Lytechinus pictus: one gene and its partners. The protein of the gene in region 2 purifies or fractionates together with the protein of the main gene of each other region. This does not show direct contact. Links are inferred from orthologs where the notes say so. Each region holds a gene or a part of one and is shown on either strand. Other genes may lie near its edges.

Evidence for each region.
Region 1: the proteins of exosome complex component RRP46-like (region 2) and nuclear nucleic acid-binding protein C1D-like purify together in Homo sapiens (affinity purification with mass spectrometry; 4 studies listed by BioGRID and IntAct, counting the BioPlex papers as one, with this or other methods). This does not show direct contact. The link is inferred for Lytechinus pictus from reciprocal best matches to the Homo sapiens genes EXOSC5 and C1D.
Region 3: the proteins of exosome complex component RRP46-like (region 2) and M-phase phosphoprotein 6-like purify together in Homo sapiens (affinity purification with mass spectrometry; 6 studies listed by BioGRID and IntAct, with this or other methods). This does not show direct contact. The link is inferred for Lytechinus pictus from reciprocal best matches to the Homo sapiens genes EXOSC5 and MPHOSPH6.
Region 4: the proteins of exosome complex component RRP46-like (region 2) and DIS3-like exonuclease 1 purify together in Homo sapiens (affinity purification with mass spectrometry; 5 studies listed by BioGRID and IntAct, with this or other methods). This does not show direct contact. The link is inferred for Lytechinus pictus from reciprocal best matches to the Homo sapiens genes EXOSC5 and DIS3L.

What each region holds. Positions count from the first base shown.
Region 1 is NC_087251.1:44,239,416-44,247,302, forward strand, and holds the start of nuclear nucleic acid-binding protein C1D-like, read left to right. Parts: upstream 1-4,878; 5' UTR 4,879-4,999; coding exon 5,000-5,116; intron 5,117-7,887. UniProt on the Homo sapiens protein: Plays a role in the recruitment of the RNA exosome complex to pre-rRNA to mediate the 3'-5' end processing of the 5.8S rRNA; this function may include MPHOSPH6.
Region 2 is NC_087251.1:26,028,444-26,036,253, reverse strand, and holds the start of exosome complex component RRP46-like, read right to left. Parts: upstream 3,001-7,810; 5' UTR 2,957-3,000; coding exon 2,857-2,956; intron 2,227-2,856; coding exon 2,105-2,226; intron 1-2,104. UniProt on the Homo sapiens protein: Non-catalytic component of the RNA exosome complex which has 3'->5' exoribonuclease activity and participates in a multitude of cellular RNA processing and degradation events.
Region 3 is NC_087246.1:60,406,372-60,414,149, reverse strand, and holds the start of M-phase phosphoprotein 6-like, read left to right. Parts: upstream 1-4,776; 5' UTR 4,777-4,923; coding exon 4,924-4,986; intron 4,987-7,778. Other genes in the region: deoxynucleoside triphosphate triphosphohydrolase SAMHD1-like, read left to right, coding at 280-450. UniProt on the Homo sapiens protein: RNA-binding protein that associates with the RNA exosome complex. Involved in the 3'-processing of the 7S pre-RNA to the mature 5.8S rRNA and play a role in recruiting the RNA exosome complex to pre-rRNA; this function may include C1D.
Region 4 is NC_087249.1:24,491,242-24,498,174, forward strand, and holds the start of DIS3-like exonuclease 1, read right to left. Parts: upstream 3,022-6,933; 5' UTR 2,887-3,021; intron 1-2,886. Other genes in the region: molybdopterin synthase catalytic subunit-like, read right to left, coding at 6,447-6,515. UniProt on the Homo sapiens protein: Catalytic component of the RNA exosome complex which has 3'->5' exoribonuclease activity and participates in a multitude of cellular RNA processing and degradation events.

The DNA of each region.
Region 1 (7,887 bases), about 18 Mb from region 2:
ACAGGAATTGTAATTTTAGTGTAGCATTTTTCGTTTATTATGTGGATCTTAGCAAGTGTGCTTGTGAGAGTCAGAGTAATGTGATGGTACCTGTTACATGCAAGGGGATGAGATAGGGTAAGACTGGGTTAAAGGGGCATTCTTCTTTGTGTTCTCTTACAAATTACATGTCATGTACTCACCCCGCCCTCCACCCCTTTCTTTCTCTTGGTTGGTATTTAAAACTTAAAATGCCAAGTGACTGATGGTTGATGGGTCTTTCTTTTCCATCGAATGATTTATTAAGAACTTGACTAATTATGATAATTTATGAAATCATTTATTGAAAAAGCTGAATGTTTGATTGATAATTTATTGAAAAAGGTGAATATTTGATTGATGACATTGATTGAGTTTATTTACTAACAGATTGTTGATTGAATGATTGATAGATAAAAGTTGATGATCTAATTTTCAGAATTTATTATCAAATTGACAGTCCGCTTTGCACTTAATGCGTACATGTAATAGCAATCAGTCTCAATCTCAACAGGAGGGGGGAGGGACGGACCTGTAGGAGGGAGGCTAAACGTTCTGTTGACCCTTTTCCCATCAGCTTACTTCACACACTGAAGTCATTTCTTACCCCTATTCTCCTGACTCCAATGAACACACTGCTGAGACCCACATTGTAAGTTAAAATGCTTCACTAAAGATTGCAATTCATGCTCACTCATGCATGGAATTTCAATTTGATAATTCATGAAATTTGCTCTAACAATTTAAATTGATAATGAATGACCATCAATTCATCAGAACACCCTCAAGTTTGCAAGTTCCAAGGGACTCGCCTCTCAAAAACTGAAAGAAACCGAAAGGCTAATTCCTGCCCACCCTAATTTTCATACCCTTTGTTTAAGTGGGTAGTGCTCACTCAAGCATGAATAGTTTTCCAACATTTTGGTGTCATTTAAAAGATGACTTTATCGGCTTTCCATATGTATAGGTCTTTCCCCCCAAAGTGATATACTTTTTATTTGGCAGCCATTTCAAAAGTGTATAGTTTTTTTTGGGACGCACTGTATATACAAAAATCTATATAAGATATGAATGTGCCTTCTCTATGTTATGCATTACATCTTCTGTGTATTTAGTGTCCATACTTATCAAGTTTTTGTACCAGTACTCGTATTACTGGAACAGTTGCTAAACTGAGTTTTAAAGAAATATTTAGTCAATATGAAGCTCAAGTTGAGGAAACAGATCGTCATGGAACCTGCATAAGATGAGGTATGAAGACTAAATGAAAGGAATGTCAAAAACTCTCAGTTTGATTGTTACAAAACACAGACATCTTTTTTTTACACTCTGCTTTCTTCCTCCCCCCCCCCCCTCCTTCTTTTCCTTTATTTTTCAATCAGCCTTGAATTTATATTTCATAAATAACTGGGTGCTGCAATCCCTAAAATGGTTGGTTTAGTTTAAGATATGATTTTTCAGAAAGTGATTCATTTGGATGAAATACAGGTGTATTACCCCCCCCCCCCATTAAGGTGCAAGCTTATTATTTTCATTGTTTTGTTTAAAGTTTGTAGTTTGTGTGTTGGTTATCTTGGTGTTTCAAATATAATGTATATTATTATTTATCAGTAATGTTGAATGTGAAAGAAAAAGTGCAATGAATATATTTGAAAAAAAAAACTCTAATCAATGTAATATGACTGACAGTGTATTTGTAATTCTAGTGGCTGTTTGCTAGCTGAAAAAGAAGAAATAAAGGATGTGTCAATGTCTAAGAGGATAATGAGAGAACATTTAGTATTAAATATGATTGGGAATGAATATTAGAGTGAGACTGAGATATCAAGGGAAAGAGAGAAGCACAGGGAAGGGGAGGAGAGAGGGGATTGATGGACAAGGAAAGGGGATCGAGGACAAGCAGAGAGAGAAAGACGGAGGGGCATAGGGGGCAATAATTCATGAGATTTTTGGTCAGGGGAGGGGGATGGGACTAGAGGGCCCTCTCCTATAGGCTGCTGTATCATCCTGTATGAAATTTGAAAATTGAGTGGGGGATGTCCCCCCCCCCCCCCCCATTGTCCCCTCCCCCAATCTCTCGCCAGGATACACTGCCAATGGTTTAGAATTATGGCTGTAACTGCTATAGATGAAGAGGGTCCCCTAAATAAAAGAATAAATAGTTGAATTAAAAAACAATAGAAGCCCAGGACCAAAATCCAGTTAAAACCAATTAGGGCAAAACCAATTGAAACCAGTTGGCCAACTGGTTTCAATAGGGAAATTGGAACAACTGGTTCCAATTGAAAACCAGTTGCCAATTGGTTCCAGTTAAAAACCAATTGAAAACCAGTTGCCAATTGGTTCCAGTTAAAACCAATTGGGCAACTGGAACCAGTTGGCAATTGTTGTCAATTGGTTCCAGTTGTTCCAATTTCCCTATTAAAACCAATTGAATCCAATTGGAGGCAACTGGTTTCAATTGGTTCCAGTTGAAACCAATTGGAGGCAACTGGTTTCAACTGGAACCAGTTGAAACCAATTGGTTTCCAACTGGATCCAATTGGAACTTCCAGTTGGAACGAACTTAATTAGTTACAAATTAATTAGCATTTGCAGTAACTATTTCTCATGCCAACACAGAAGCAGTGTTATACGTCTATTAATACCAATGTAAAGGGCATTGATAAAATACAGACTTTCATGTATTTATATATTTATATGGAAGATCTTCAAATATATGTACTTTTATTTGATGTAATTTGGTAACAGTTAGTGGTGTACTAATTATCCTTTAATCTGTTTTAATTATAATCTATAACATTTATGAACATGGTTTTCACTGCTAAGTATTCTAAATACTAATCTTTAAAAAGTGTGGTACTTGAAATTGTAAAGAATTAAATAGATACATTGTTAATGATGATTAATCTCATAAAACATTAATCTGTGCACACTGGCAAATAATATGCAAATTAACTGGTTTCAATTGGATCCAGTTGGGTAACTGGAAAATTTCCAATTGGAAACCAATTGGAAATAATTTCCAGTTACCCAACTGGTTCCAATTAGAATTCATTTCCAGTTACCCATCTTTCCAGTTAGAAGTCATCTCAGTTACCCAATTGGTACCAGTTAGGATTTCCAGTTACACAACTGAATGGTTCAAGTTAGGATTTCCAGTTACCCAACTGGTTCCAGTTAGAAATCATTTCCAGTTGGAAGTCATTTCCAGTTACCCAACTGGTTCCAGTTAGGATTTCCAGTTGCCCAACTGGTTCCAGTTAGAAATCATTTCCAATTGGAAGTCATTTCCAGTTACCCAACTGGTTCCAGTTAGGATTTCCAGTTGCCCAACTGGTTCCAGTTGGGATTTCCAGTTACTCAACTGGTTCCAGTAAGAAATCATTTCCAATTGGAAGTCATTTCCAGTTACCCAACTGGTTCCAGTTAGGATTTCCAGTTGCCCAACTGGTTCCAGTTGGGATTTCCAGTTACTCAACTGGTTCCAGTTAGAAATCATTTCCAGTTGGAAGTCATTTCCAGTTACCCAACTGGTTCCAGTTAGAAATCATTTCCAATTGGAAGTCATTTCCAGTTACCCAACTGGTTCCAGTTAGGATTTCCAGTTGCCCAACTGGTTCCAGTTGGGATTTCCAGTTACTCAACTGGTTCCAGTAAGAAATCATTACCAATTGGAAGTCATTTCCAGTTACCCAACTGGTTCCAGTTAGGATTTCCAGTTGCCCAACTGGTTCCAGTTGGGATTTCCAGTTACTCAACTGGTTCCAGTTAGAAATCATTCCCAATTGGAGGTCATTTCCAGTTACCCAACTGGTTCCAGTTAGGATTTCCAGTTGCCCAACTGGTTTCAATTGGTTTCAACTGGAAATTGTTAAATTCCAGTTAAAACCAATTGAAACCAGTTGAAACCAATTGAAACCAATTGAAACCAGTTGGAAATCCAACTGGTTTCAATTGGATTTTGGTCCTGGGAGGGCTTAATGTAGAGGAATTTAGGAGGATTGTGGGGGCGGGGGCTGGCCGGGAAATGGGTAAATTGAAATTAAAGGAGAATGAAACTCTTGGAGCAAGTTAGCTTTTGTGAAAGCAGAAAAATCAAAGAATAAGATCAACAAAAGTTTGAGTAAAATAGGACTAGCAATAGAAGAGTTATGAGCATTTGAATGTCGAGATCACTAATGCTATGGAGATTCTCCCATTGGCAATGCGACCAAGATCTATGATGTCACAGATGAACAACTCTCCCCTTTTGGACACTGAAAATATACCCCAAACATCTCTTTTTGCTCATTCTAATCATATGACAAACGATTCATCAATGATATAATGTTGTGAAACCTATGCACTTGTCCTCTCATATAAAGAGAACACCTTACCTTGTGATAGACTCTATAAAAGTGAGAATATAAGTGAAATAAGTACTAAAGTAATGAGGGAGTTGTACGTGTGTGACATCACAGATCTTGGTCACATTGCCAATAGGAAGATCTACATGGCATTAGTGATCTCAATATTCAAATGCTCATAACTTTCTTATTATTCATTCAATCTTCCTCAAACTTTCAACAATATGTTTCTTAGATTTTTCTCTTTGATATGGATTCAGCTGGTTTCAAGGGTTTCATTCTCCTTTAAATGTGAGCAAAGAATTCTTGAGGTGAGGAGTACCGAAAAAGGAATGTAAATTAAACATAAGATATGGCATACTTAAATGAACAATATAAGTTTATAAAAAAAAGTGAAAAAGTCGCCAGCGCGAGAGTTAGCTCATGTTTCTCATACTAGCTTTCTGATTTTAGGCCGCGTCGTCGCCGCCGCGCGCGCTGGGGTACGATCGGGTACGATGCTAGCTGGCTCAGCTCACGCTCGCGCTCCGGTGCGTACGGTATAGGTAGGTACGGTCAGAGTTCGTGCATGCGTGTCGTCAGGAACTACTTTCTGCTGTTGTGAATTGATAAATTTCATTATCTAGAAAGTCATGGCAGTTCCAAAAGAGATAGCACAGAATTTAGACGATTTCAAGGCAGCACTAAATGAAGTAGAAGATGTATTCAAACCTATAAATTCAGTCAGCTTAGCCGATATCAATGGAAAGGTAATGACTAATGTGACATTTGTGTGGTGTCCCATCTATTGTAAATGATGTTATGTAGTTCTAACAGACTTTAAGTTTAGGAAGTTTAGCTTTAACGTCCATGCGCAGTGAGTCGCCATCGGCAGTCTTCAACCTTCAATTTTGCAACCAAAAAAAAAATTCTTACCCAAATATTTGTATGAGATGAAAGTATCCACAAATCCTTTCAAATATATGATAAACTTTTCTCCTGAAATTGCTACAGTTAGGGTGTCTGAAGCCACACTGAAAAGTGTCAGCATAAAAGTTTTAAAACAGGCTAATTTAGGGGAAAATATGGCACATTTTTTGGGGGAAGTTCAGGCTACTAGAAAAATGTGATCTGAATTGATTATTAACTTGTGTTTGATATGTATGGAAAGAGAAAATTCAGGGGCTTCTTTTGACAGTAAGGACAAGTTTATATGATCATTTAAAATAAGGATTTAGAGATAAATTGCAAACCCTTATTTTTGTGTGTGTTGAGATTGCCATTTCTCCATGCGTTTTCTATGGGAGAATGAAATTTCTGTTTTGCACAATTTTTTTCACTTTGTCGCAATTTTTCATTGTGATCTGGTTTCCAAATCTTTATAAAAATCATACCATCAGATAGAGCATAAAAAATCCTATTGGACTCTTTATGGACAAGTTTTTGGCATTAATAATAAATTTATAACAGCTCTCGGAAGCTAAAAATTTGGATTTGTGTGTGTCCATTTCTTAACTACACAGTCTATGGCAGAGAAATGCTGAAAATTTACCTAATTTCATTCTTCTTTTTTGCAGCCAATAATTGGATTTTTTTCAAAAATGTTACATTTCTGTCAGTCTGAAGGTAATTTCTCTTCAAATTCACAAAGAATATGTGATATTTTCTTGAAATAAGAAAAATAATTTTTTACTCCAGACACCCTACTACAGTTTTTAGTAAGATTAAGAACATCATGAATTAAACACTTCCGGAACGGCGACACAATCAGTAGAGGCGCTGGTCAGAAAATTGGGATCGTCCCAGTTTACAGGGACTGTCTCAGTTTATAAGGATTTCTTCACACAAGAAATCTAGGAAAGTTCATTCACCTGTCAAGTGCCGACACCAATCAAGTGTGCTAGTCAATGTATTCAACATATCGGGTTTCATAACAAGATTATTGGAAGACAGTAAGTCATGAAAAATAGACGGTGAACTGGGGGTAATTGAGGTCACTGAATCTATTTTTAGCACTCTCAATTCCCGTAATTGCTGTCTTTGTCCCGTAGGGGGAGGTGAAAAAAAAACGTCCCCATAAACAAGGACAGTCTCAATTTATCAAGACATGATTTGTCTTGGTTTATGAGGATATCCTTGTTTTCTGGGACAATCCCAATTTTTGGACCAGCGCCTCTACTGACAATGATGGGTATATTTTGACTTTGAGTCGCCGATTCGAAAAATCCAATAGTCAATACATTTACTACACAGACATATCGCGCATGCGGACACACACGCACCGATCGTATGATGGGGGGGCTAAAGCTACGCACTTTGTTTTCAAACGATAAAAACTATGCCAATTTTAATATTTGATTTTGAACCATTTGTCTTTCACTAATTTGTAATTAATATTCTAATAATCCTTAACCAAGAAGAAAATATCACAGAACTCACTAATACGAAAATCCCGCCGTGTTTTCCGAACACCTCTTGATTTCGCCGCCCGATGTAGAAGGGGTCCTAAAGCTACGCACTCGATTTATCATGCAAAGAAATAGTATTTCCTGTGCCTCAATTTCTAAAATGTGTTCGTATTATTATAGGGAAATATGAAATTAAAGTGAACATAAATAACAAATTCCTACATTTGGTGGTTTTCTCTGCATTCAAGAATTTATTGCAGCCTCTGTAAAAAAATTGAATAGGATCGTTCGTCACTCTGCAGTCACTGCTTCACACACAGAGCTCGAGTGCGCATTTATTTTCCCATTGAAATTGCATGCGCAATGGAGTGGTGCATAGCTTTAGGACCCGCGCAGCTTTAGGAACCCCTACCATACACAAAAGTGCATTGACTCAGCTGTGTTGTTGAAACCTCTCCGTGGGTTGAGATATACGTTGAGTCGCCACCCCCTCTTATTTTGATAACAATTGTCACCCCCACCTTCAAAATGAAATGATCGTGAGCATTTTTTTATAATCTATATTTTGATACCAAATATTGGTAACTTGAGCGGGCAGTTTTGGAAACATCGATTGCTTAGTGTGGGCGTCTCAAATCGTCGCCCGAGAACAATGGCAGCTTAAATTCACACCGCACGAATCCAAATTTGCAAGTCTGACTTTGACTGCGCTAAACTCCTTTGTATTTTGCTGGATCTTTTAACCAAACGTTGCAGCATTTCAGGGAATTACTGAGGATTAATATCAGATGCCACAAGACACTTTTCAACATTGCAAAAGATTTCTAGAACCATTGTAGTCAGGCAGTGACAGGTGAGTGGCGCAACAGTAAAAAAATTGCACATGGCGACTCACTGCACATGGACGTTAGGTTTTTATGACCGTTGACATATTTTTAGAAGTAGAAGGTCTTACTTATACCTATAGATTTTTTTGCAATATGTTTATTCTAAATTGTCTTTTCACACAATAAAATTTGCATCAATGTTTGCCTTTTTAATCGTTATTTTCAATCTAGACTAGACCTATTTCAAGTTTTTCAACAGAATTAAGAGGCGCACAGCCAATTTGGGAGACTGTCTTCCATGACATG
Region 2 (7,810 bases):
CACAAGGAATACTATATAAAATTATGAAGGAAGTTGCATTCCCATCGTGCAAAAAAAAATTACTATGAAATTGTTTTGCGTATGTACATGCACTTACCAAGTACCTAATTGTTTGTATCAGACAATTTTTTTTCTTCGTTTTTCGGGGGAGGGGGTACTTTTCCCAACCTATTACCTAAATCTGCAACATTTGATAAGCTTTTATGAATGGGGGTTTCCAGGGCCCGTTTATTAGTTTCTAGGATTCTTTTGAGCATTGCCGGGCTAAAAGTAAATTCCTGGTTTTTATACCTGTTAGTAGTGTGGATGTGTGATACAATTTTTGTTTTTGGTTTACAAGTATAGCTGAAAAGTGAAATTTGACAGTTCTGATTAATGTTGCATGGATCTACTAAAACTGTGTTTTTTTTTTCTAATTTACAAATAGTTCAGTTTCAGTTTAGAAGCTGGAGTTTATTTTTTGTTGACAGCTTAAAAAAGAAATTAGCAAAGAGAATGATTAAACAAATTATGAAGAGAAATGAAATCCGACAGATATGAACAAGCATTGCTTGCACTGACCAGAATAGAAATCAATAACACTGCATGGCTGCATAGGAGACCCTTATTCATTTCGCCTTTTTTGAGGGGAGGGGGAGGCTGGAGATGGAAAAGGTTTAAAAAGTCAATATAAAACTGATGAATATAAATGAGTGTAAAGTCAGAAAAATCCATGTGTACAGTCAATACAAAATTGAATTACTATAGGAATACATGTAGCTGCTATGACCCCCCCCCCCCGAGTAAGTAAAACATACATTTCTTATCTTTTGACAATTAAAAATGTGAAGTATTATGAAACTTTTATGATTTTAAAAAGCCTTACATATAAGTACCAAGAGAATTATGCCTTTGAAAATCATATAGCACTGGTAGATGTTCATGTGTAATGTCAGTTACCGACAAGTAATAATAAAATATTCAAATCAAAGAAAATTAATTAAGAAAACGAAAAAGTTTTTTTTATTGAAATGTTCCTAGAAACTCACGTATACTTCCACATCAAGCTCACTTTCATGTGAAGCCCTGGCAAATTAAGTGTAATGTCAGTTACCAGCATGGTCGTGGAAAAATTATCATAGCCCCCAAAAGACAAAAGCAAATTATTTAATATTTTGACACGTCTTAACCTAGTAACAAAGGTATATTCACATATTCAAATTATTACTCTATCTACTCAGGGACATGAGATCTTTCAATTTTACTGAACACCCTGAAATTGCATGTCCTTTTTGTGTAACGTCAGTTACCGACACATTTTTGCTTGCTGATGCGTTACAAATGTGGTTACAATGAAAAACTTAGTATCAAAGTATACAGCAAGGTTCACTTTATTAACTCTATCAAAAGCAAACTCCCATCATTTGTTGTTTTAGAGATACACACAATGAAAGGTGTGTAAAATTGTGCCGTGTCACGTCAGTTTCCATGAAAATGCCCTAAGGAAAAGTAGATACATTGTTTGTGGAGATTAAATCAAAAGCAAATTTAAAGAAATGTATGTTGTGAAGAAATGAAATACCAATTAATCTGATCCAATTGAATACGGTTTCAAATAATCTATTATCCAAAAAGTTTATAAAAATCATTGTGATCCTGCAAAATAGATGGAAAGCAGGCTAGTAATGAACAGATGGACCAATCTTGGAAGCATTACAGGAACCTTGTTTTCAAGTTCTATGTTCATGCAATTAAAGCCACTAGAAAGGTAGCCTTGTCCACATGTGTTTAAAAAACACATTACCTTAAAATAACAATAATAGGGTATTTGTATAGTGCACAATGTTCTGTATTCTTAAGTCAAGTTTGAAATTAAATGTGCAAAATTTGTTTACATTGTACAATTCTTTTGTTTACTGTGCTCTTTTCCCATTCTTTAATGGTAATTGAAATTATTTCAGTTATTCTTTTAAGAAAATTATCAATTATTTGAGTAAGAGATGAGCTGGTAAATTGACCCTGTACTGTTAGAGATTTGTGTCACAATTGGCTACCCATCGTTAAATGAGAGTTTAAATTCTACTGGAGTTCAGATCATGACCCATGTGTGTCAATTTAAGGATACAGCCCCTGCATCTTGGATCTCCTGGATGATGATATCAACAGAAGAACGTGGGAAGAGTGTGGTCAAGAGGACCGTCTCACAGGTATTCCTGATCATCCTCTCCAAGGCTTTCTCTCTTACACCTGATGAAAAAAAAAACCACATCATACGATCATGATGAGTAATAATTAATGTATTTGAGATTATAAATAAGATGGCTGGGGTCTGTTGAAAGTATATATTGAGCACCTTGTCAAAAGGCTATACTGCATCTTTTAGCCAGAATCTAGCTATAATCCAGCTATGCAGCTTTTCATAACTTTCTGGTGGTGATTTTTGATGAAATGCGATGATTAGCAATGAAAGTCCACTTGCAGGCTTCGTGCAAAAAAGGCCCCTTTCACAGGTTACTCCTTCCTACTGCATATGTAATACAAGGCCACTACATGATCTCCACGTAGCCTTAACTTTCCAAAAAAATGTTATGATCTCTTAACAATAATGTATGATTGAAGTATAGATGATGAGGAAACCACTAATCAGTCAATAGCAGTATGTACTACATTTCTCCTAGGATGTGTAAAAGAAATATAATGAACAAAGATACAGTGAAAATGAAGAAATGTGCTGAAAACTGTATTCATTTACAATGCACGCAAAATTGAATGTAATATTGTAAAACATTTTATTAAGTATTGACAATGAAATGTGACCAAAGCATTAGTTGGAAAAGAAAAAAAAAAGGAAAAAAATTGATTGAGAAATTTCTTTACCTGCCATTCCTACTTTTGGTTTGTATGTAACTGTTACTGTTGCCTTGTCCATGAGAGCCTTATTTGGTTTGATATCCCCAGGCCCATAAACTGCAGCCATTACTGATGTATCACCTGCAGTACAAAAACATCGAAGGAAAAAGAATATCTTGCTCAATGCCACTTAAAATGACAGCTAATCACATTGGCAATTATATATGGATTATGTCTAGAAAACAAAAAATGTTCTTGATATCTTTAAAATCAAGTGGACGTTGTAACTCTGGCAGCTCTGCTACTCGAAGTAGCAGATATCTGAATTTCTTGTGACTCAAGAGCTATGTTGTATCAACCAAAAGTTCACTAAGGCCCGTATTCTGAAGTTGGGTTTAATTTAAACTCTGGTTTTAAGTTGTGGTTTAACTATGGAAAGTCAGTTGTTACTTAATCTCCAACAGTAGAGGTTCAATGTATCAGCTCATTTGACTCCCAAAACATTTTAACTGCCTGGGAAGGCATTAGATAATTAGTGAAGAGCACACTTAAAATGAGAAGCATTCACTGTAAACAAAATTTTGAAATGTTTGGCTTCACATAATTTTAGCACGGAGTTAGACCATGGTCTAAGTTAAACCCAACTTCAGAATACGGGCCTAAGTATTTTTTCCCAGTCTTTAGGGTAACCAATTATGTGTGACTGATCCCTATCAAATCAGCTTATAAATAAGCCTTTGCAAACCACAGCCAGTAAAGGATCAGGGGTCCGTTGCAGAAAGAGTTGCGTTTAAACGCAAGTCAAAAAATCAATCGCAAGTCCAAAATGCGCGCTGTTGATTGGTTGAAAATCAAGTTGCACATGATTTTTAGAGTTGCGTTTAATTCAACTCTTTCTGCAACGGGCCCCTGTTGCTTAACCTCCCCAGATAAACAATGATATTCCAGAATTAAAATCTGTTTCCTATGAGATCATGAGTACTGTATTTGAGTCAAAGTGTTCAACTTTGACCACAAACATTGCAAGAACACCTAAGATCAAGGATCTTGAACCTCTTGTAGATCCTTTAAAATGGCATTTCAAGTCCAGCATAATAAGATGGATCCAAGACTGGGACACACATTTAAAAGTAGTATTCTATTATTGTACATTGTAATCGTTTTTTGTTGTAATCAGTGTATTATGTGTTGTATGTTCTGTGTAACCAATTCGTTTTGTAATGTTGTTTTGTTTTTCGTTGAAAAGGCAGCACCTTGCTTGACATATATGCAAACTTCTTGATGCACTTCCCATATTATCTTTGTATATTAATATTGGAATATCTAAATATAAATGAATTGAAGTACAAGGAGCCAGCATCTAGCCCTGCCTTTGATCCATCAAAGATTAACCTCAGCAACAGCAGACAAGGAGAAAATTCAGAGAAAAACTCATCAATCCCAAACATGGACCCCCAAATTGTCCAAAAGAACAAATCAACAGTGCATAACACAAAGACCAGGCCTTTCAACCTGCTGCCAATAGAGAAGACTTTGTAATGGTCTCTCTTAATATGAAGTAATTTTGAGTATCCTCCTTCATATTGTTCCCTTAAACAATGTGATTACAACAGAAGCACTTCTAAAGTTAGGCTCATTAAAGTACGACCAGCCAATTACTCTTTCTTGCAGATCAAGGACACTGATGAATCCCAATTTGATAAAGAGGTGCCTGAGAGCAAATGCAATATTAAAGACTCTTACTTGTAGATCAAGGCAATTGGCGATTCAAGATAAGATACAAACATGCTGAGAGTCGAAGTGAGTGAAGCTCATTAACGTATGACCAGCTAATGACTTTTACTTGCAGATTAAGAACACTGATGAATGCCAATTGATACAGCCTGAGAGCAAATGCCAGGAAAACAGAGGTACTTTAAGTTTGGGTCATCCAAGTTACACCAGTCGATAATTCATACAACTTGCAATTCAAGAGCAGATACATTTTTTTTGTATTCCATGCTAATAACAAGTGTAGCATTTCTAATGCAAGGGTCGTTAAAGTAAATCCGGCACATGACTATTACCTGGAGATCAAGTCTGCCAAAGACTCAAAACCTGCAGAACAGGATTTCAAAAATAAGGATTAAACAACATCAAACAACAGTCATTTCATTAGCACAAGTGACCCCCTCCCCCCAAATGTTTTTTTAAGAACATGGACCTCCCATTTGTCCACATGAAAAGGTCAATGGAGCAAAATAAAAAGACTGGCCCTTTTCACCTGCTGCTCAACTCCCCTAGATACTTGAAGTAACAAGTTATCTTTTGCTGGTTTGGGTTTTTCTTTAGCAGTGTAAATGTAAGTGAAATAGAGCCAGAGACAGCATTAGTCTGCTAATGAATGAATGATGAAACTATGAATTGGCAAAATTTGAAATCAACAGTTTGAAAAATGTCTGTTTTCTCATTAAAAAAATGTTAGTCATTGAACGAACATGGAACGAACCATCAGAGAGTAGATTCCCAAAGTCCACCAACCTTTGAATGAATCTAGATGCAACTAGAGTCCTGAACTTCATTAGGAGGAATTTTAACTTGTGCACTCTGTTCATTAAAGAACTGTATTTGTCCATTGTAAAGCACCATGGAACCCTTACACTCAAAATAAGGTTGACACTTGACTGTTTTTTTTTCCATCTGTTTAGCATTAAAAAAATCTTATTATAACTGCTATTAATTCTACATCTGAGACAATACTGGAAGCTAAACGGGGATGGGTATCCAGGATATGTGGAAAAGGTGCTAACCTCATTGCCATTCTGAAGGACTAGAAGAAGGCACCACAGCTCTGAGAGTGCATTTATTTACATCCTACTAATAGGCCCATTTGTATAGTGCAACCAAGTACTGCAGTTGATATTTGTTTAACCAGGCTGTAGCTGATCACATCACACACACAAGCCGTAGGTTGAAGAGAACGTAGGCTACAATACATTTCCAACAGCAACATACAACTTTGGACTCCTTGCAAATTAATCTTTTTATATGAACTCTACATTAATGGAATGAACTCTCCCCTCTGACAACTGACTGTTGGCTAGCCCGCAGAGATCTACTTCCCCAAAATACACCATTCATTCTAAACTTACCATTCTCTCCAACCAACCTCTAATAAAAACTCCTCTTGGATTACTTTTTTTGGAGGGACAATATAGCAAATAACCAAGTACAAACTTTTCACAAGTTTTCCTGACATGGAAAAATTCCCTAAAATATTAACCTTCAGCAGATGAGCTAACCCCTTAAAAATACTGAATACATCACTACTGGGCTGAGTAAGCTACCTCTGACCACAGGTGATGGTTCTAGTAGTGTAGCAGTCCAGGGCCCATTTTATATTGGACTTGCAACTGTTGTAACCATAAATGGCAACTACCATGGTAACAGGGCTCAGCAGCCAATCAGAATCAAGGTTTCCATGGTAGTTGCCATAATGGCAACAGTTGCAGGTCTTTATGAAACAGGCCCTCAGCTCTAGGTAGATTACGCATGGTTTTAATTGTCTGGCTTGCCCATCGGCCCAACGATTACGTAACGAGCAACATTATCTTTTCATGATAAAAGATAGTAATAGCAGTGTTAGGTACGCCACTGATAATTCAAATCTTCATCCAAATCTGTTGAAACTTACCTCAACATAAAGACAATGTGTCACCCATTACGATGATGCATTGATTAAGACATATGATGAAGAATAACTCAAGTTATGATTAAAAAAAAAAAAGATTTCTAAGTATTATCCATTCCGAACGAATTGTCGACCATCGAGTATCAATCACCACCCCGCATGCGCATTCGGGGATTGCCAATTCGGGGCGGAGATTTTACATCGCGCATAAACGCTTCTCGCGGCATGGTGACGAAGCGTAAGTGCGCATCATTTGTGAATGGTCATTTTCGCGGCGCTCATAAATATGCATGTGTGTTCATGATACGCATATATCGGAGTATTTTGTTGTTGTTTTGCAAGGCACAGTGTGCAAGACGATTGATTTGAGACTTAAAGTTAATTTCACATGTTTTAACTAGATTATCTGAATTACAGTGCACAATTACGACATGGAAGACCATTGGGATGGATTTCAAATATAATATGTAAGTGAGTTGATAACATTTGGTTTTGCATCTTTCTTTTTTCAAGTTGTTTTGAGAACGAGAATTTTTTCTTTCATTTTAATCATCATTTCTTGTTTCTTGTCTGTCCACCGCAATTTTTTGTAGTCCTATGTTACATTTTCCCCTTCAGTACACTGATGCTTGAAAGTATGAAACCGAAAAATGCACCCCCCCCCCCCCCCCCCCCGCGTTCATCCTTTCTCTCGATCCCTAACAATAACAAAAAGGATAATAACATAAGCTGATACTAGATAGAGTTTTGACAAGTTATTAAAGTCGTTTTTTTTTTTTTTTTTTGAGAGAGGTGGGGTGGGGGGGTGATGTAATTCCCATTTTCCCCCCTCATTTTTTGTTTTTATTCGTGACTTGATATCCTTGCCTTTACGTGATTTCCTATGCATGCTCAATCCTTGAAACTTTACATAATTTTGAAATATTTTTACAGATCCATAGTACACCATACAGAACTTTTTTTAAAGGAGCTAGTCTCAAGTTTGTCTCTCTGTTTTGTTTCCTTTTCTGTGAGTTCCTTTCTTCTCATTTTGTTCCTCTCCTGTACTAACTTTACAACCATTTGCTTTTGTTTTTGCTCCTCTAGCCTCACTTTTTCCCAATTTCATTGCATTCATTATTTTGTTTTCTCTTTCATCTACAGGAAATTTTTGTAGCCAGGAGGCTGTATCATTTGATGAAAACATCAGTTTGGATTCGACCTTACCACAGAAATGTTAGGGGCCCTATGAAGCATTGCATCCGCTCTGCCAAACTGCCTCTCACCCGAGATATTTGTAGAACTACACGATGCACTTTCTGCAGCAAGATC
Region 3 (7,778 bases), on a different chromosome or scaffold from region 2:
TGATTTAGGGACCAAAAATTGACTTGCTATTGATCGCAAGTTTCTTGAAACACCCCATCAGTCATACGTATCTTTGTGAAACACCCCCAGCTCGTGCTAATGGTGTAGACAGAATGATAAGGCTGCAATAGATTTGCGAAACAGCTTTTTGTGACGCGGCCATTTTGCACCCTCGAGGAATATGATTTAAAACAAGTCTCAAACTAGTATTTATAATTTCCAATTTATCATTAAAGAAATTTCATCATTTAATGGAATATGTTTTTTTTTTCAAAATAGGTTTCCTGGATCATTCCGAAGAAATTTCAGGAGCGTTACGTACGTCTCTACTGCAGGAAACCCGAACAAGCGCCCAAGGCGACGGAACGATTCAAAGATTGGTGTAAGAAGAAAAACTTCCCCAAAGTTAGGGAAACCTTGGATAAGGTCCAGTCTTACTTGGGAATATGATCACGTTGGAAAGGAACCGAGGAACTGTACTACACGAAATTATAACTACAATATGTCTCCTGTCATAGGCTTATTCCAATTATTATATGAATATATATGCTTGTGTGTTTGTATCATGATGAAAAAAATCGGAAACATGCATGTATACCAATTTCGGTTTCAAAATATTATTGTCATTTGATCTATATTCTAAAAGAATTAGGAATGATTAGAATCAAACTGTGAACATTTAATTTGTCAAAAATCATGTGATATGAAGTTTGAAAAGGGTATTGCCTATCATTCATTCATTCATTGCCCATTTTCTTTTCTCATACGTTATCAATACACTATTTCATTAAACACTCACCATAAATGTTAGTCAAATTTCAGATGATTACCCGATGGATATTTTCATGAACGGGAGGGGGGGGCAATATTAAACTATTCTCAATCTGTTACGTGTCATTTTACTTCTGATAGCCTATCACAAGTAGATCGAGGCTCTGTAATGCAAATGTTTGCAATCAATCACTAAATAATCAATCAAAATCGCTAGTGCATGCCCATTTTTCATTCTAGGAAGTAGTTGAGATAAATAGGAAGACGACATGTGGTTGTAACATATAGTAATTTCATCATCAGTACACAAAATATAAACCCCTCAAAAAAAGTTTGGAAATCTGTGTTTGGCCATCAATTTCTCCCAACTCCCAATTTAACACAATGCATATTTAACATCATTCAAAAGATCATTTAATTCTTTTTAAAATGATACCATGCTTGTTATGATCATGCCATCACGAAAAGAACAGAATTCAAAAGTGTTGGATGAGGTCTGAATTGAAAAGCTGCAAAACGAGCAAAAAAAGTTTGGAAATCTGTGTTTGGCCATTAATTTCTCCCAACTCCCAATTTTACAATGCATATTTTACATCATTCAAAAGATCATTTAATTCTCTTTAAAATGATTCCATGCTTGTTATGATCGGTCAATACACATGATACAGAACATTATTCTTTTGTCTGCGTCAATAGAGATGAAAATCCTTTCAAATCAAGCCCCTGCTTCTGTAGTGATGGTTCTGTGAGATAACATGGTTTGAGTCGTGGTTTGAAATACCCATGCATGTTTGTTTGTTATGTGTTTGCTTGTGCAGAGGTGTGTTTGATTCCATGTTAATGTTGATGTTAAGGTGCATGAAAACAATTAAACATGTTAAAAGAAACCGCTGAGAAACTCACTCATCACCACTGAAAAAAAGAACAGTGACTTTCAATATTGTGTCATTTTGCAACTTTTGAATTCTTACCTTGCCCCACATTTCAATGCATTGCAACTCCATGTGAACCATAATCATATCATGTAGGGTATCATTTTAAAGAAAATTAAATGATCTATTCATTAATATTAATTACACATTGATATTTACTAATACCGATCAAAGTCAAAAGAAACCGCTGAGAAACTCACTCATCACCACGGATAAAAGAACAGTAAAGTTCAATATTGTGTCATTTTGCAACTTTTAAATTTTGAACTTGCCCCACATTTCAAGGCACTGCACCTCCATGTGAACCATAATCATATCATGTAGGGTATCATTTTAAAGAAAATTAAATGTCCCATTCGTTGATATTAATTAAACATTGTTATTTATTAAATCCGAGGAGGGATTATCGATCAAAGTCAGATTTCCAAACTTTTTTTGAGGAGTTTAGTATTTGGTCATTTTGCCTCCGACGAAGATTCTGCTAGGATCGAAAGCTTAGGCCCGTTTTTGACTTTCGAGTTTAGTATTTATCAGTTCACCTCTTTGAATTCACGTTTTCAACAGGAGCTTTTTTATATATGATAATGCGAATGTGTCATTTAAAAGTTTTGTCATTTTTAATCAAGTATATAATGTCATTTACCCAGAGAAATGTTGTCAAGCTGAGTTAAAGTATAAGCGTGGCCGAAATTCATATAAATTTTGATGGCGTTGGACTTCTTACATGCATGATGGAGGATGATGTACAACTACATTCAACTTTATCGAATTTGCATGTTTATTTTTAGAATAAACGTGCGTTTGCGTACATTTCATTTTATATACTGTATAATCCAATTTATTCGTATTATACTCAAATTCATTCCTTAGTAGTTTTAAAATCTTTATTTATCAGGATTTATCATTGTTATGAACATTACACATGTCATGAATTTATGGCCTTTCAATCGATAGAATTTGAAAATTATATTCCGTTATGTTTATGAGTATGGTAAACGTTTATGAAAATTTGGAATATGTTTTCCTTAACAACTGCATTATCTTATTTTTTTAAAGAATGTTTAATAGATTATGGGTCTAACTTGAATATTCAGTTATAATTATGCGTTAATTTTTGCGGAATTTTGAATATGTTATAGCTGAGGCAATTTATGATATTTGATGGGTGTAGTACAGGTGTAATTTTTTTTTTATAATCGACTCTACATGGTCTAATTACTGTGGTACGTACATACATAAATTATTTCGCTACTTTTGTTAGAATATGGTACATTTTCATGCAGTATAATGTTATTGATCAATTGATGAGTTTACACTTCCCTCAATATGAAAAGAAAATATGTTTAGTAAGGTACCATCAAGATCATGTTGCATAGTGTATAACAGTAAAATCATGATAATAGAGAATTTATATCGTTGATTTTATCAGAAAAGAGTGCATTTTCAAGTAATATCATGTCATTATAAATCCAGGGGTACGAGGGGGCCAGTCATCATCCATTAGGGCAAGTCCCCTCTCCCGACCCGAAAAAAGGAAGTTTGGATTTCGTAGAATGGGTTCGACTCTGCAAAATAGATAGTTCGCTAATAGCTCGCCGTAAAACATGTAAATTCCGGCTGATGGCAGGCCGCATTCACTTATTGATGTCGATTATCTTGTTAACATTTTGGGGTTACAGAATGCCCGACAATTAAAATCATTGCAAAAAAGTTGTACATTTTAAAATTTACCTGTTGTGGTAAAGAGGTGAATCATGGGGGAAGATGGTATGTGTGTGCATGTAATTGTGAATGCGTGCATGATCGCTGTATCCCCCCCCCCAAAAAAAAAAAAAAAAAAATAATAATAATAATAAATAAAAATAAATAAAATTGATAAATAAGTAAGTAAATGAGTTAATTAAATTAAATAAATTAAATAAAATAAGGAAGTAAAAAAAGAAAACAAAGCAAAACAATATCGAGCGACATATTTGAATGTGTGGTCATTAGCAAAACAATAAGGCGCCTATTCAACTCGATGACAGTGACCCTGCTTAATTTAACTTTAGAGACACCCCTTCCCCCGTTTTCTTTTAATAACGACACATATAATTTTTTTTTTATTTGATATTGGTATTTGGTATTATTTGTCTTTCAATTTGGAAACAAAAAGTCATGAAAATGATGAAAATTGATATAGGGATTCTCCGGGCTGAAAATAATATGATTTAAACAGATTTCTAGGCATTTCGTCATGGATTTTCAATGAGCAAATTAATGATGTCATATCCCTACTTGTTTTTTTGTATTTTATTAGATGAAATCAGGTTTATTCAATTTTTTTCTACCAAGAACTGAAAAAATTGGATTGATAACTGATTTAGTGCATGATATTGATATATTCATTGCTGCAACTTATTTCATTATAAAGGAGACACATTATTCACACATTTCATGTATGAAAAAAATTAAACAATTATGATTTCATGTTATAACGTAAGAAAAGGCAAAGTGGGGATGTGACATCATTAGTCCATCTAATGAATATTCATGATGCGTGCATATTGCTAAATTTTAAAATTCAATAACTTTGTTATTCATAATCCGATTTTGATGAAATTTTCAGCATTTTGCTTTGTAAATTTTACTCTAATTATTTAATATATAAATGTTTTCAGCCCGGAGTATCCCTTTATTAGAAGTTCAATGAACAAACGAAAATGCATGTTTAGCTTTTTTTAATTTTAATTATTATTATTATTACTTATTATTATTATTATTATCATCAGGGGCCGCGGAACGGTTTTCAAAGTGGGGGGGGGGGGGCTGAGCCAAAAGTGAGGGGGCTGACCATGCAAAAAATCACTATCATATGGTCATTTTACGTTTTTGTACACGGTTTTGGAAAAAAAGTGGGGGCCGGATTGAAGCAATCCCCCCCAGCCCCCCCCCCCCCCCCCCCGCTTCCGCGGCCACTGATAATTATTATTATTATTGTTATTAATTTTATCATTTATTATCATTTTTAAATTTGTGTTATTTTTTTTTATTTGATAATCAAAATATTATACGACTCTCATCACCCCTGGGCATGGACGTCCCTGCTAACTAAGTGCATTTTTATTTTTATTTTTTTTTCTTCTCCAGTGTCGTATTTTCCAATTCTAGTTTGCTTCATGAAAACGAATGCCTGTATGCGTGGTTTTAGAGGTAAAACAGTGTTGCTTTCCTTGTCAAAATGGCCGGAACGAGAGGGCAAAGCAAAAATATTAGACTTTCTAAGAACCTATCTCAGATGAAGGTAATAATATTTTGAGCGTATTATTTTTGTGGGATACAATGCTTTACTGTAAAATGGGTTTTATTGTGAAGATGATAGTAAAGAAATGCTGGGCGTAGTCCCATACCATATTTTCTGTGTAGGGTTGAATTTTTAAACGCAGTGAATAATTGCAGGAATATTAATTATTATTGTTCGATCTAGGCCTACTGCATTTGCATTAATACTATATAGTAGCCTAGCCCTAGGCTTAGTCCACTTATTCAATGAACAAGGTCATGATATAACGGCCTTATCCTGAAATAAGTCACCTCTTCTCGTGAGTGTCGGTGTGTGTGTGCGCTCGTTGTGTACAAAGTCAATGGGAAATGAGATCACCGCTGCTGACGAAATGAACGGCAGTGAATGGAGTGGTGACCTAAACCAGGATAATGCAAATATAACCTTGTTCTCTGTTAGTACTCCATGGCATGTGTTGCAAAATAAGGTTGGCAATGTTTGGCTTATTTTCTCTTTTTCTTTGGAACAAATGCTTGATTGTTTGACACTGTCTTGTCTTGTCTTTCCGTTAAACGGAGTTCAGTGGCCTGTTGCATGACGAGATGAGCGATACGTAGGAACGTCCTAGGACCATTCTTCCGAGATAGGAAGATTGGCGACAAATCAGCGCTTTCCGTTTCACGAAGGCAATTTTGTCTTTCAAGTCCGCGACATCGTTTGATATCGATAGTATCGGAAAAATATTTAGTCTTCATCGTCACCTGAACCTTTTATTTCGGAATGACGACTTTTCATAAAATCATATATTTCAATAAAAGGGGATCAAATAATGTTTTATTTATTACTGATTGTAGAATTGATGTATGGAGCGTACTTTATGAGGTAAAAAGAGAAAAAACTTTCAAGATTCACAAACATAACTGGATAAAATCGAAATTTTCATTATTTCCCTTATTTAGAACACGGTGTCCTTTTAGAGACACCTTTCATTGATATTTCAACGAAAGAGACCCTTGTCCGACATAAAAATTGATTTAACTAAGTAATTTCGACATTTTATTAGTTCAATATACTGATTTTTTATAGAATACATATATACAATGATAATTTTGCAAATTATGCGTTAATTGTTGAGGTTAAAAATTGGGTTTGAATGGAGTAAACAAAATCAACAGTGTCTGATTGTATGAGACTAAAAAGGAAAATATGAGAGGCTGCCTGTGAAAAATCTAATTTATTTATTTTATTTGTCAGATAAAACGCAAGAAATACAAATGTGAGTGTTTAGAGTACAAACATACCTCAATTGCATGATGAGTAACCGAAGACAAGGAAAATATGAAAATTGCTGCAAACATGTCTAAGTGGATAAAGTAGTGCTTTGCAATAACAATTAAAACATAGAAAAAGGTGTGCAATCCGCAATGGAAAAAATACTATTTACAGAAATAATGCTAAATATTACAATGATCATAAACGTTGGTCATCTTTAAAGTTGATTACTTAATTTATGGAAGCTTATATAAGAATATAAGTTTTAAGAATATAAAAAATATATATTTAACATTTCAAAGTTGAGGAGTAGAGAAGCTTTAACATTACTTAGGGGCCGAAAGGGGCCTATATGTACCCTACGATTTAAAATGCGCCTCTTCGTATGGACTTTCCAGATTTTTTTCTTTAATGAACTAGCTAGCTTATCTTCATTTGTAATAATTGTGATGGATTCGTAATATAGCTATACTCCTAATCTGTATCTTAAATTCAATTAGCTATTTTGCTACTGCAGTTTTTTTGTTTTGTTTCACTGTTTCACATCTCAAGTTAGCCCAATTAAAAATCCGACAATTAATTTTCATTGATTAATATCAATCTCAGCAAAAAAAAATAATTATAATGAAAATGAAATAAAAATAAATGAATGATTTACCATGTTTAACATTTTAGTTTTGTATCCTTTTTTTTTGCTGAACGTTATAAACACGTTTTTTACTTTACACAATTTCTTTTAAAGAAATTTGTTTTCATGTTGTTTAATTATCTATAATGAGAAAGCATGAGGGGTCAAAGAGATAGTGCCGCCCATTTCGATATTTCAAAAAAAAATTACGGTAATGGAAATGGTGTGGGGATAGGACGGAGAATAAAAGCAAACATATTTTAAAAAAATATTTGGGCCTACATTACCCCCGGACATAATGCCCGGAGAAGTTAAAATGACATCTGTTTTTGGTCGTCTTGCCGTGCAAAAAGACGACCTGAAATTGATGACAACTAGCTAGCCCCCATATAAAAAATAACTTGGCGCCATCCCAGATAAAATGCATCAGTGTGCAACCCCAAAAAATGTTTAAAGGTGATATGTCAGTGTGCATGGCTTGCCGTAAACGCATTTTCTCTCAATGCCGACGGTGGCGGGCGGTGTGCAAAGAAGATCATGCCTACGAAGGACATGTCTGGAGGTGTCTTTCCAAGGACCATTCTTCGTATCGCCCAAATCGGCTTTGTGAAACAGTTGAGCGATATCTCGTTCTTACGTAGAATGGTTCTACGAAAGACCCTTTCATGCAACAGGCCCCAGCTGAACAACCAACATAACAGAGACCGAAGCTTTTGGTCTAGAGTCCTATATGTACAGTACATGACATAGCCTGGATGGAGGCTTCTGGAGAGTAAAAGTACTAGTATTAGTTTTATTACTACTGACGTAGGCTTACTCTCCATGAAGCCTGGGTCGGCATACCATTGCTCTACATGCACCGACGAATTGGCCAAAATACTTGTTATTTTTATTTTTTAGCCTATACTTGTGT
Region 4 (6,933 bases), on a different chromosome or scaffold from region 2:
ATTGTGTCAGGAACTCGTTGGCTGCAGTAAATAAATATTGTTTTTAAAAATGGATAACCATGAGAAACAAAATAATCATATCCATCTTTAGTCGAAGTGCCAGGAATGAGCTCTTTGGCAAGCTCTTTGGTGTAAAAACCGCTTGCGAACCAATTCTGCACATTGAAAAATAAACGCTGACTAAGCAAAAGAAAATTATAAACTGATTGAAATTGCCGTTGCATACGATGACATGTTCAAATAAAATTGGAATCATGCAGTATTTTGTTTGTTATACACAAAGAAAACTCAGACCATGACACCCGTCATGATTTTTGTATCCAATATGATTTTATAACATATATTTACATCAGGACAATTTATATAATATAGACACACATAATAGAAATTGTAATAGATATGCATGCGCTATGCTAAACAGTCAATGTGAGTATGCAATCTTGACCTAAATTTGCCTTTTGGTAATTCAGGAAAGAAATAATAATTCTAGAAAATGAAATCATTTATGTGTTAGGTATATTCCGAACATTTTCCAAAATCGTTAAACCATTAATTTCACAGATTAAGTGTCAAAATTAAGTATTAAAGTGCGAAGTGGTCATTACAAGGGGAAAAGGTACGTGGAAAATACCACCTTACACCAGTATGGGACTAGATATCCGTCCCCGCAGACACGGCGATCAGCCCGTGTGCGCACGCTAAAATTTATCATTCTGCGGCTCTCGTGCTAGGAATGAACTTGATTTTTCTCTCAATTACGAAACTCATCGTGGAAAAGGTTATCCAACATGCAATGATATACTCGTAAAATTTGTCGTCATGTATCATTTACACACAGATAATAGAATATAACCCTTCTTTTGGAGAACTATTAGTAAGTTGTTCGAATCTAACGATTTTCTTTTAAAAATATAACAACAATTTACCTGATTTCAAATGCCTGCCATTTCTTTAAAAAAACTAGAATCAATAAGCCACCACCGTTATCAGTTGTGAAAAATTCTAGGAAACGTACTAAGATGCTTTTGCAAATAATTAAAATTTAAGGGGATATGAAAATAAGGATTTTGCAATGCTATATCAAATTTCTGTTATATTTTCATCAATTTTGGGATTGCATCGAAATGACTGATAATTCAAAGTCTTACCTAGCCTGGAGGCGTCTGGGGAGTGAAAGACATATATGGTTGGAACTACCCCTTATCGACCACCTAATCTTCTCAGCATCGTATCTGCGAAAATATTCATCAATTTTACCCAGTTTTAGTCCCATTTGTGCAGAAAATTGAGCAGATCAGATTCCCATGTTTCGCTCGGCGACTCCGATTCAATCCGCGTATATATCGACGAACAACGAATACGACGATTTTACATTTGCTCATTTGCACCCGTCTTTTGAAACCGACCACCCGCGATACACTAAGTTTACGGCCGATTCTTGTCGCGGTGGCGAAATATTTTTACTCTTCCAAATCAGTTCTATAAAGTCAACATGCTAAATGATCGTCTCACTACTTCCACTGCGAGCTCCGGCACATGATTCGACGATTGACGACGGATATTTGTTCTAAAGCCGTTTCCTATCGGATTTCTTGGTTTTTCAGCGGGAATTGGGTCTGGTCAATACAATTTTGATTAATTCTACTAAATTTTTACTTTTTGTTGCTTCTTTTTTTCTCGTAAAATCGATTCTTACCGTTTCTATGGACACTGCGCCTACTCTCCCGCGCGTATCGTTTGTAATACGCAATAATTTTAACGCGCGCAAGGTGGTCGGTTTCAAAAGAGGTGGTCGATATGTGGTAGTCTCACCATACTGTACGTATGGTCCCTCCCCTAACGCCTGGGAGCCTAAGCTATATTCCCACACGCACGGGTACAAAACCTGAAACTTTCGCCCCCGAGATTTCTACTTTCCCTCTAAAAGATCTAGCCCTAAAACATGTACATGGAGTTAAACTCCATTCCCAACATTTCTGCGATATTGATTACATTTTTAAAGAAGAATTCATGAAAAAAAACGAGGAAAATGTTATGAAAAGATGAGAGAGCTTACGGCCGTGTTTACGTCGCCATCTTGATTTCTTTGTCTTCCGCTTGGCGACAGCACGCAATCAGCACGCGATTGCGTGCTGTCGCCAAGCGGAAGACAAAGAAATCAAGATGGCGACGTAAACACGGCCGTAAGCTCTCTCATCTTTTCATAACATTTTCCTCGTTTTTTTTCATGAATTCTTCTTTAAAAATGTAATCAATATCGCAGAAATGTTGGGAATGGAGTTTAACTCCATGTACATGTTTTAGGGCTAGATCTTTTAGAGGGAAAGTAGAAATCTCGGGGGCGAAAGTTTCAGGTTTTGTACCCGTGCGTGTGGGAATATAGCTTAGGCTCCCAGGCGTTAGGGGAGGGACCATACGTACAGTATATGTCTTTCACTCCCCAGACGCCTCCAGGCTAGTCTTACCCACACTTGCTTGTAAATTCGGTATATGTTGTTACACTGATAAGTGATAGTCAATGTAAATGATAAACATTCATAGCCTCACTAAAATTCAATAAATCCATTGTTTTTAGAATTTTAATGTCGCAGACATTTTGGAGAGTGAGCAAAGTGATGCTTACAAACGTCGCTAACAATATTGCTAGGCGAAAAGGCCTTTCAATGGCGCGCTCCACTGAGTTGAGGCCGTGAACATACGTGTGCGCTGGAGCTGGAGGATCTAGGATCGAGGACTAGCGTATAGCCAGTAGCCATAGGCAAAGCGGCGGCGACCCGAGGCTGAGCCTGAGCTACGCGCGCGGCTTGCATTGAGACCATTTATTTCATCATGGGAACCATATTTACAAAACTAATAATCCATATTTTTGACAGCTCGAATACTCACAAAATACAGCATCAGATCATGCAAGTGAAAGAGGTCATTAGGTCAGAAATTGCCTGAATTTTACTCGTTTTCGTTAGCTTAGTTGGTTTTCCCGTTTTACAATACATGGAGTCCGTAAGATTACAAATTTTAAAGAAAAAATGGGCTGACCGTACCGCTAAATTAATGGGAAGTTCACCCTGAAGAAAAGTTTGTTTAAAAAGTACCATAATAATAATAAAAACACAATCGTGAAGGTTAGAGAAAAATCCATCAAAGATTTAGATGGTTATTAGAATTTCATTTTTTTATTTATGACGTCATATATGAGCAGCTGCCCCACAAGTTATGTAATATAAAAAGCATGAATTTCATTTTTTTTTTGGGGGGGGGGGTCATCGGGAGTGGGTGATTTGTCTGTTGATATATTGAAAGTACAATAAAAACAATTCACAATTTTTTGAGGAAATGACATTTCATTGTTTTTTTTATTCATGATACATGGAAAGCTGCTCCCATATAATATCACAAATAAAAAATTGAACTGATAACTTTTTAATCTTTCATGAATTTTCCTCTAACCTTCACAATGTTTTTTTTTTCAGTTATTTTTACAATAAGCATTTGTCAGGGTCAACTTCTCCTTTAAGAGACAACATAGCTGGATTCAAAGCCACTGAACTATACAATTTTGGAGGGCGAAACTGACAGTCAGTGAAGGGAGTAGCTTGTGGGGTGAGTTCGGGAGACGAGCACTATATTTGGCGCCATGTCTCAATCTGAAAAAATGATATAGCCCAGGGAAGGATGCTACCATAAATTATAGTACACTTAGGCCTGCTTCGGCACAAATGGTCTGTTTTCTACAAAAAAATATCCCTAAACACGATCTTCAAAAAAATACTGAAATATGGATTGTCTAATTTGTCTTCCAAAATTCTATGTCCTGTATTGTATCTTTTTTAAATGGGCATATAAATAACGACTGTAGGATGAGTGAAAATTGTTCTCCATCTTAATGATTGCTCTCCAATCTTCTCGGCCTCTTCTTCTGGGCCCTTCTCCCTTGATCCCCTCCCCTTACTCGCATGACTCCACAAAATTAATTCATAAACAACTATTTATCCAAAACTTTTATGTTGAACTTCTCTTTTAACGAATGGACTATACATGTAGTCCTAAATGTCTGGGAAATCTTCAAGGCAGCACTGAGGTTGTCAAAGTCAAGCCCACTTATTCCCCTTTCAGTAATTCATCCACTATTGGTCCATTCTCCATGCATAAGGACTCCACAGTCAAATTGCACTAAGAATTTAACAGCAGACTAATTAAGATTCTATTATCATGAATCGGTCTATCCCCAAGTAATGGAACTGACACTGAGTAGAGACTTTTGCATTTACATCTATCAAGCCCATCTTGACATACAAGCTAGGCTGTTCAGTAATTTAACATTTTCACGACTTGGGACTAGCCAGATCAAGGCAATGACTTTGTCTGAAAGTTTTGTCCCAACAAGGCTGACATGTTATACATTTCCAATATATCCTGAAGTTTACATCTAAATCTTAATCAGAATTTCTTCTTGGTAAAGAGCAACATGTCATCTCAAGTAACATATCAGGGGGCCGTTTCATAAAGCTGTTCGTAAGTTAAGAGTGACTCTAAGAACGACTGGTGAACCTTTCTCACGCGCTAAATAATCACCAACGAACATTTAATGGTGAATATCATTTACAGGGAATAATTTTGCTTTACAAATATGAATAGCATTTTTGGTTTTAAGAGAAAAGCTCTCAACTAAGTAATGTACAGTCCTATGTAAAATTATGCTATACAAAAGATTTTATGCATAGCAGTCTTTCAAAAATGTGAAGCAATTTGCGATGCGATACCAGGAAAATTATTCCCTGATTTACCACAAAAAAGGATCACCAGTCGCTCTTAACTTACCAACAGCTTTACAAAAAGCCCCCTGGTCCCTTATACTTGGGTAGTAGAATCACAATCACAAAAATCCACAAAGAAGACAAAAATTCATAAATTTTCATTGAAAACTCAATTTTATAATCAAGTAGTAGATCAATAAATATACTTATTTAAGGCACAAACACATCTTCACTATAAATGTCATTGTGTCACATCATAAATTATATTTGATAATCATCTACACGACTTCAAATCACTTCACAAGAATGATCTTTCGCTTACATGGGAAAGTTCAATGGCAATTAATACATGTACTGTGTTTTCTTATTATTACCTACGTAAGCCTTTGTATATATTTTTCTACCAAAGCTATTGAAATGGGGTGAGGTGTTGTTTTGCTTTACAGGCAACAGAAAGTTCATTGTAATAAAGGCTTTAATAATACCCTTCATAATCTTTAGATGCAGTGCTTATCAATTTTTACCAAATCTACACAAATTAGTTACTTCCTGTTTCTCAACCCTCAATTAGATATATTTTTGCTCTCCCACTCATGACTTTTATATAAAAAAAAAATAATAATAAAACTATTTTTTTTTTTAAATAAAAAATTCTACTTCAATAATCTCCTCCATATAATCACATAAAAGATTATGCAAGAATGATATGGCATTTCTGTTGTGAATCTATCTATTGCACTTATCAATGAATAAACTGATCCCAGAAAAATATGAGTGAACACAGGCCATGACACTTGTTATTACTTGTCAATCTGTTCCTGTTATTTGAGTGTGATCCCATAAGAAAATTCACTAACATTAAAATAAATGTTAAGTAAAATGCAATCAATGTTTTGAAATTTGATTGATCTGCACCCTCTAAAACTGACTTCAACTTAGTAACAGTGATCACACAAGACAGTCCCGACATTAACCCTCTAGAATTCAAAAGTCAAAGGAAATAGAACAGATCAAACCAAAGCCAAACTTATCAAAAACACAGTTTGGTGCTGTGACTCTATTAAACTTGCCTGTTCATGAAAACATAATCTGTATTGTGTTACCCATCAAATGTATCCATTAAATTACAAAATGTTAACCACCATTACTTTTCTGTATCCTGACACACCAGACACTTATGATTATCCAAATTCTTCTCAAATTGAATACATTTTAAAAAATGGATGGAAAACTTTTCGAAAATTAAGCTTTGTGATGGTTTTCTACAGACTGCTTATCAAAGAGAGTACTGTAATTCAGTCTGTGGTCTTTGTTTTCCTTCAATTATACCTAATGTGATGGAAGCAAAGGCATTTCCCCCAAAGGACTCAGGCCTTGTAATATTGAAATATTTTTTGTAATAGTAGGATTTGAATTATTAAAATTACTCCAATGCCATTAAAGGTATGATCTTGCATGCTACTAATTGGCTTCATTGCCCCACTTATTATTAGCCCTAGATATTTTTGGTGACCTTTTGAACTTTTTCACATTTGCGTTATATAGAAATGTGTTCTGAAGAAAAGTGGCCTGGCCATAAACCATCAAAATTACAGGCCAGTGTTGTAACATGTTTCCTTTGAATTAGAATTGAATGAGAAAAAAATACACGTCATAGAAAAAGAAAAATACATATAAAACAGTTTTATTACATCATGATTTGCTGGCCCATGGACACTCTTTATTTTCCTTCCAGCATCCATCTCCTTCTTCATATATTTCCTGTATAAATAGATTAGAGGATGGGAAAACAGATACAAGGGAAATTAAAAGAGAAAAAAGGTGAAAGAGACAATACATGAGAGATAAAAGCACATGGTGGTGTATGAAAAAGAAAAAAAAGACAGAAACAGTATAAGTGGGAGGGGAAAAAAGAAAGAAAATGAAATACACTGATTATATATGTCACTTTCAGCTAAGGAATTTAACACTCAAATTTAATTTATCCTAAATTATATTCTACAGACTTTAAACAAATAATAAAGAATATAAGTGAAAATTTTTAAACAATCTAAAGTCTAAATTTACCTGCACAATTCAAAGTAAGACTTGGGTGTCTTGCAACCTGATGTAATATCATGAAGAGATGCATGCAGGCGTGGGATTGTAATACATCAATTCTAAGGCAATTCAGTCACCC